Linked DNA regions of Canis lupus familiaris. The protein of the gene in region 2 interacts with the protein of the main gene of each other region in a pairwise test. Links are inferred from orthologs where the notes say so. Each region holds a gene or a part of one and is shown on either strand. Other genes may lie near its edges.

Region 1 (3,742 bases), on a different chromosome or scaffold from region 2:
AGGACCCAGGATCAAGTCCCACATCGGTCTCCCCCGGTCTCCCCGTGAGGAGCCTGCTTCTCCCTCTGCCTGTGTCTCTGCCTCTCATGAATAAATAAAATCTTTTTAAAAAATTATTTTAAAACCTAAAATAAAAAAGACCTAGTATGTAATAAATCTAATCAAATTACAGAAATGCATACAGGCACAAGAGATGACTAAAGATGGGCTTGCTTAAAGACCAGTAATTAGTAACATCAGCAACCTCTCCCAAACTTCATAAGTAGAAATTTACTCACTTCAAAATGAAGAATCTTGACTAGAAATTAACACTGAAAACATCACTTTTCACTGACATACCCCAACGCATTTTTTTGTCTAACCGGAGAACCCGAAGTATTTTCATTCTTACTAGAAATTCAGAAACCGTTAACCTTTAAAAAAATGACTGTAAGTAATAGAATTACATTTAAGATAGGGAATTTCGACCACGTTTTGAACTGAAAGAGTATCTGAAGTGTTCAGAGCTCTTCCAGCGCCACCAACTTCCGGAGACCTGAGGCGCGGCGTTAACCTTGGGCACCTCGGGGGCCCCCTTCCCGGCGGGCGGTTCCCCCCACTCAGCGAGCCGTAGCTCGCGGACCCCGCTCCCGCCACGCACGCGGCCGCGGGGCAGACAGGAGCCCGGACACCCCCAGGTAGCTGTGAGAGCTAAAGGAAGCACGTTCCTGCGTCCTGAGGCCTCGGGGGAAGGGAACTACTGCGAGGAGAGTCCGGCCGGCGGGCCCGGCCCGAGGGACGCGGGGCGGCGGGGGAGGGGGTTCCTGCTGGAGCTGGGGAAGGGGCTCTCCGGGGTCTGGGGATTTGTCCGGCGAGAACCTGAGAGCTCCTGAAGGGAACAGACCAACAGGGAGGGGCCTGTGGCCTCCTAACCCGGTCTATAAAAGACGGGGTCGGGCGAGTCCCCGGACTCTGCCGGCGTCACCAGGCCGCCCGGCGCCACTTTCAGGGACCCACGCGGGCACACCGAAGGTAGAGGGCGCAGCGCAAGCGCCGGCAGAGTCCAGAAGTTTCTTAGGCGCAGTCAAGAACCAGCAAAAAATACATTCAAGGATACAAAGAAATAAAGGGCAAGGGAAAAAGAAACGGCCGATTAAGCTCGCTCCGCGTAAGTGTGGTCACCCGGCAGAGATAACGAGAACCAAAGAGTTTCTACCCAAAAACCAGACACAATACCTCTAAAAGCAGGAGACAAAACGGAGACCGGCGCTCGGCACTCACACGCCACACCGAGAGGAAGAAAAGGCCTCAAAGACCGAAAGTGGAGGCTCAGCGAGCGGGAACGTGGGAGGGGGGAGGAGTCAGTTGCCAACCAGTCTGGTGCAACTCAACCACGTGAAAGTACTGCTTTCATTTTTAAATGAAGCCCCTCTCCCACGGTCGTCAGGTGCCCTCGCGCTATTTCTGGCAGGGCGCTCAAGCTCTGCTAACCCCGGAGGCCGCACCAGGCCTTTCCTCCCTCCCTGCCTCCCGCGGCCCTGAATCCCAGCCCAGCGGTCCAGTCCCCGAGGGGATGGCTCTTGATCTCAGGCCTGCCTCCCCGCACCCGCGATCTCAGTCCAGGGGTCCAGTCCCCGACTCTACGGCCGTGGACTTCTGACCCCACCTTCCGTGACCCCAATTCTCAGCCCCAGGGGGCCCAGTCCCTGACCTCAGCCCCTGCCTCTCCCGACCCCAACCCTCAGCCCCTGCGTGCCCAATGCCCATTCGGTCCCCGTGGGTGAGGCCCCTGACTTCAGACCTAGCCTCCCCCAAATCCGTATCCCAGCCCCGCCGCCCCCAGCCCAGAGGGCCCGGTTCTCGGTCCGTCCCAGTGGTGCGGCCCTCAGCCTCCGACCCGCCGCCCGTCCCGCCCCTCACCTCGGGCTCCGGGTCTCCACGCTCCCGCTCTTCACATCCGGCACCTCGATCGTCCCTCTGAGCACCTAGAGGAGGGTGGAACGCGGGGAACTTGGCAGTTGTAGCTGAGGCAGTTGAGGCTTGTTTACCATCACCATGGAAACCCCTGGCAGCGCGCCCTGGGCGGGGCCCCGAGGGGCGGGGCCTGGCGCGCGGCCGGCCCCGGCGCACAACTCCCGCCCGTCGGGCGCACGCGGCGTTTCCCGCAGCCCGCTTGCTCCGGGCTCGCCCAGTCCCCGCTCGGCCGCACCCCAGCACCCGAGGGCCGCTGCCCGGAGAGCCCGCGCCCCCACCCCACTTCCGGCTGCTGGCGTGACCGCCGGCCGCTTTCCCCGCGGAACCCCACCTTCTTCTCCAGGAAGACGCGGCGAAGGGCTACTTCCACCACGGAGCCGGAAGGACGCGAGGAGCGCGGCGGGGCGGGGCGGGGCCTCCGCGGCGTGCGTCCAGGGGCGGGGCCGCGAGGGCGCCATTGTGCCGCTCCCGGGGCGGAGCCAGGGATTGGTCTGCGGGGCGCGGGGCAGGGCCGGGGCCTGCGGAAGGGGACGCTGTGGAGAGGAGAGCCGCTGCCTCGCGCCAGCCCTTTCTCAGGGCGGGGGAGGGTCTGACCGCGGCAGCGTTGAGCTCCGGGAGATGCTGACTGGGAGAGTTCCCCCCCTAAACCGGGACCTCAAGGACTCCGGTATTGAAGATCAGCGTGAGAGAAAAAAAAGAGTAATTTCCTGCCAAGGAGAAAATAGGGAACCGAAAACAGCGAGACGGATAAAGGCGGCTCCGATTGCAGAATTTAGGGAAGGAGTAACATGTTCACTGAGGTTGCTCACATGTTGATTACTTGGGCTGAGGAGTCCCCGGTCTCTGAAGGTGACCCAGAAGACCCAAGGGAACACCTGAAACTAAAGGCTGGGTGGAAATGGCTTCCCAGCCTGAGAGCAGTGGAGACTTCTTGATGTGTTCTGGAGTTAGTAATTATCACCATTTTAATTTTTGGAGACTCTTTATAAAGAGGATGAGATCAAGGCATTCATCACAGGTTTCACAGAACAGATTATTTTAAAATCACTGGTTAAATTAAGGGAATGTTTGGAGCAGTGGCAGATTATGAGCGGATGACAGTAAAAAGCAGTTTGTCAAAAGCTGATTCTAGGAAAGAAAAATGGGAAAAGTGAAAGGAAGAGCTGTTAGAGGGGGTGAAAATGTACAAGGAGAAAATTAAAGCAAAATTACTGAAAATGAGTCCTACAAAAATCAGGTAGGTGTTCCCACAAAACTCCACAATGACTTCATCATAGCAGACTGTAGAAAAGTGGTTCTGGAGAGAGAATGCAAGCAGCCAATCTGAGGCAAATATTAAAACGGTAACAAAAAATAGTGCTTCAGAATTAAGGGACTGTGAAGCCAGGTCCAAGAAGATATGTTTATATAGTCCGTTAAGAGAGACTCAAGCTACACGGGCTCTTTGATCCCTTCGAGGGGCTCCCTGTTCATTATTGATCAACAATGCAATAATCCTTTTTTTTAAATTTTACTTATTTATTAATGAGAGAGAGAGACAGACAGAGGCACAGGCAGAGGGAGAAGCAGGCTCCAGGCAGGGAGCCCCACGTGGGGCTCCATCCTGGGTCTCCAGGATCAGGCCCTGAGCTGAAGACGGTGCTAAACCGCTGAGCCACCCGGGCTGCCCAACAATGCAATAATCTTTGAGAGCCTCCCTGAAAGAAAGATTAGAGCCTTGGCCTGATTATGAGCCTCTCTCTGGTCTTGGGAGTAATCCTAGGTGCCTATTAATGTTTTTTTCAGAGAT
Region 2 (3,742 bases):
ATCCGTATCTTCTCAATCATTCACACCAGAAATGTGAAATCCCTCTTCACATCTGAAATGAGTCACTAAGTCCTGCCTATTTCACCTCATCTGTATTTCTCAAATTTGTCATCACCTCTTTGTTATTTCCACTTCAATTATCCTGATAATCCTTTGGAAAGACTGCAGCAAATTAAACATCCTCCTTACTTCTATCCTTATCTATCTCAAAATCATAGCTCACCCACCTGCGAGAGTAATCAACCTAAAGCACAACCCTAAAGAGATCAAGGCCCCATTTTTAAGCCAGCAATCACTGAATTCACGATCAAGAATAATAAGGTCTTTAGTCATCTGGACCCAGCTTCATCTCCTCCTCCTTCTTATTTTGTGGGCCTAAAATAAGGCTCTGTGTTTCTCACATTAGGATATATGAGTATCTCTGCCTCAATACTTTATTGCTTCTCACAGCTACCATCGTGGTACATCCTTCTAAACTTCCATCGTCAATTTTTGAAGATTTTTGAGAATGACACTATTTTATATTAAAGATGAATATCTTACAGAAGAGAATGAAAATTTTCTATCACTGCCTCAGTTAAAGTGCAAGGTTTTAAAGAAAGAAGGCATTTATGACTGGCAGCTTTGGCATCTTCCCTTGGCTCAGAATTAAGTATGAAGATGACGCACTTGTTATTATTACTGAGAAGTCTAACATTAACCTGTTATCACTGCATTTGCCAATGAACCAGGAGGTAACTAACACCTGCTGGGAACAGAATTATGCCAGTCAACCGCTCTAAATTTTTTAAGTTGATTAACTCATTCCGTAATGGTTTGCACCAATTGACACGACCTCACTTTCCCTGCTACGCTCACCCTTGCTCTCTACTCCATTCAGTGCAGCATCCATCCTTGCCATCCGTGACACACTTCCTTCTAGTCCCACCTCAGGACCCTCTCCCCGGAGAGCATGGCTCTGTCCTTCAACTCCTTGAAGCACTTTCTCTATCCTGACCACCCAACTCCCTTCTTCATAAACACTTTTACTCTCGGAAAAGAATTTCTGCTACTTTTTCTTTCTCCATCTCACTCTCATTTTTTTTTTAACCCCTACTAGAATGTAATCTCAACATAGAACTTTTTATTCAATAAATCTTCTTTCTAGTGCCTAGACAAGTACCTCGTACACTGCAGGCTCACTGCAGGCTCTCGATCATCAATCATTCATTACCGACCTTATCCTATTAAACAGGTACTACTGCCAGCTGGGATTTTACCTAAGAGAGAAACTGAAGCAGTGAAGAGTCTGCCTTATGGTCACATTGTAAAAGGTGGAACTAGAGTTTGTCAGCACACAGCCTGGCATCGCTCTTTGACATAACCTCAGGAGCCTCCGGAACTCAGGTGGATTCCCTATGGAGTCCCTATTTAGTACATTCCTCTAATTAGACAGTTGCTTCCCAGGAGGGGGATACTTCATCTTTGTTTTCTCGCCACTTCTAACCCTCAATCATACATCACCAATTGTTTACAGAATGAATGAACCCATAGATACATGAATCACCCAATTATTTTTACATTATTATTTTAAGACCTTCACATTTAAAAATGTTTTGATATAAAAAGGACCGCTTTAAAAAAAAAAACAGTGATGCTAAATGTTTTAATGTATGAAGTACTGCCTTTAAAGAGTGATGTAGAAAATATTTCCTTTGACTTGACAAAGACTAATGACGAATGATTTAGTTAAAAAGGACATGTAAAAATTAAAAAGAAAAAAAAAGCCAAATAAATTAATAAATAAAAAGGACATGTACTCTTAGCAATTTCTCCAGACTGGTTTTTAAGGCTCGATTCAACGTCAGCAGACATCAGGCAGAGAGAACGCTCCAGAAGCAGCTACTTCGTTCACCGTCTACACACATGCACAAGAATTCTCTCGTATCACAGCGCCGCAAACCGAAGTGCCCTGTTCACAGGCACCGAGATTCGGAAAACAATTGATCACGCCGGATTAAAAAAAAATAGTAATAATAAGATACCTCCACTTACAAAAAAAAAAAAAAAAATACTGACGCTCGTGGGAACACCCTCGGCAGCAACGCCTGGCCCAGCAGTCACCCGGGGCTGGCTGTCTGGGAGAAGCCGGACGACTACCTCAAGGGCAGGACGGCCGCGCCACAGAATCCCACGGCCACAGGCTTGCTCTGAAAAACAAACATTCCTGAGGAGACGGGGCGGACGTGGGGGAGAGTTTAACCACAGGCCCCTCCCCGGCCGCCTCACAGTACGGAGCCCCGTATTCTCCTCAGAACTCCTCACCGTGTCTAGACTAGGGAAAAGCGACCATTTCTCAGGTAGACGCTGACGCACAAATGAAAAAGCCGGTCACCCCGCGGCAAGGCCGAAGGAGCAAACGAACCAACACCGAGAGCTCGGCGCAACCGGGACCCCGCCGGCGCCCAACCGCCCCTTCGCAAGTTTGAGCCGCAGTCACGTTTCTCGCGAGATTGATCGCCTCCACGCGATCTCGAAGCTGAAACCTCGCGGCTTTTCGGCTCCAGCGAGGGCCGGGTGGGGAGCGGGAAGGGGGTTCTGGAAGGACAGCGCTCAGCCCCCTCCGGGGACCCGCACGCCTCCTCGACCCGCCCCCCCGCTCCCCCCCGCCTTTCTTCACTGAGAGCGGTTCCCCCAGGGTGCCCAGGGACTTCCGGAGCGCTACCGGAACCGGAAACCTCGGGAGTGAGGGGGTGGAGCTGGAAAAAATCAAAAAAAAGAAGCGCGGCGAGAGCTGGCGGCCGGAGCGGGCGGGCGGCGGCAGCGCCCATGGACTCCACCGCCTGCCTGAAGTCTCTGCTGCTGACCATCAGCCAGTACAAAGCGGTTAAGTCGGAGGCGAATGCCACCCAGCTTTTGCGGCACTTGGAGGTGAGGGGCGCTCCCGGGAGGGAGGCGAGTGTCGGCCGTGAATGCCCAGCCACCTGCCTACCCTGCCGCGGGCCCTCCGCGTCCCGCTGGGAGGACGGGAGGGGCGGCTACTCGGGGTCCGAGGAGGGACGGGGGCGGGGGGTTGGGGAATCTAAATTCGGCTGTTTGGGTTTGGTTGTGGAGAGAGCTCGGAGCCGCACGTCTTTCTTCATTTCTTTCTCTTTTTTTTCTTTTTTTAATTTTTATTTATTTATGATAGTCAGAGAGAGAGAGAGGCAGAGACACAGGCAGAGGGAGAAGCAGGCTCCATGCAGGGAGCCCGATGTGGGACCCGATCCCGCGACTCCAGGATCACGCCCTGGGCTGAAGGCGGCGCTAAACCGCTGAGCCACCAGGGCTGCCCCTCCTGTTTTTTATGTGTGTTTTAAACCAAAATCTATTGCTCAGAATTTTTCAGACCTATATTGCTAAATTGCTTTATTTTTTTTTTAAGTTTTTATTCATTTATTCATGAGAGACACAGAGAGGCAGAGGGAGAAGCAGGCTCCATGCAGGAGCCCGACGCGGGGCTCGATCCCCGGTCTCCAGGATCACGCCCTGGGCTGCAGGCGGCGCTAAACCGCCGAGCCACCTGGGCTGCCCCTCTGGTGTGTTGTGTTTTGTTTTGTTTTGTTTTGAACCAAAATCTGTTGCTCAAAATTTTTCAAACCTATATTGCTAAATTGCTTTCATTTTTTTCCTATTAGTTCCCACTGATTTGTATCTAGATCACTTATCCACAGCTTTCTGTGTTCCGATTTGATTTTAGGCTTTTAACCTATCATTTATTGCA

The links.
Region 1: the proteins of DZIP3 (region 2) and HNRNPF interact in binary tests that used the Homo sapiens proteins (3 or more experiments, as listed by UniProt). The two-hybrid records come from large-scale screens. The link is inferred for Canis lupus familiaris from reciprocal best matches to the Homo sapiens genes DZIP3 and HNRNPF.

Annotation. Positions count from the first base shown.
Region 1 is NC_049249.1:3,803,315-3,807,056, reverse strand, and holds the start of HNRNPF (heterogeneous nuclear ribonucleoprotein F), read right to left. Parts: upstream 2,373-3,742; 5' UTR 2,285-2,372; intron 1,971-2,284; exon of another isoform or gene 1,965-1,970; 5' UTR 1,900-1,964; intron 1,361-1,899; exon of another isoform or gene 1,216-1,360; intron 1-1,215.
Region 2 is NC_049254.1:14,355,989-14,359,730, reverse strand, and holds the start of DZIP3 (E3 ubiquitin-protein ligase DZIP3), read right to left. Parts: upstream 2,679-3,742; 5' UTR 2,305-2,678; intron 2,190-2,304; 5' UTR 2,059-2,189; exon of another isoform or gene 2,035-2,058; intron 1,993-2,034; exon of another isoform or gene 1,800-1,992; intron 1-1,799. Other genes in the region: protein CIP2A, read left to right, coding at 2,809-2,910. UniProt on the Homo sapiens protein: E3 Ubiquitin ligase proteins mediate ubiquitination and subsequent proteasomal degradation of target proteins.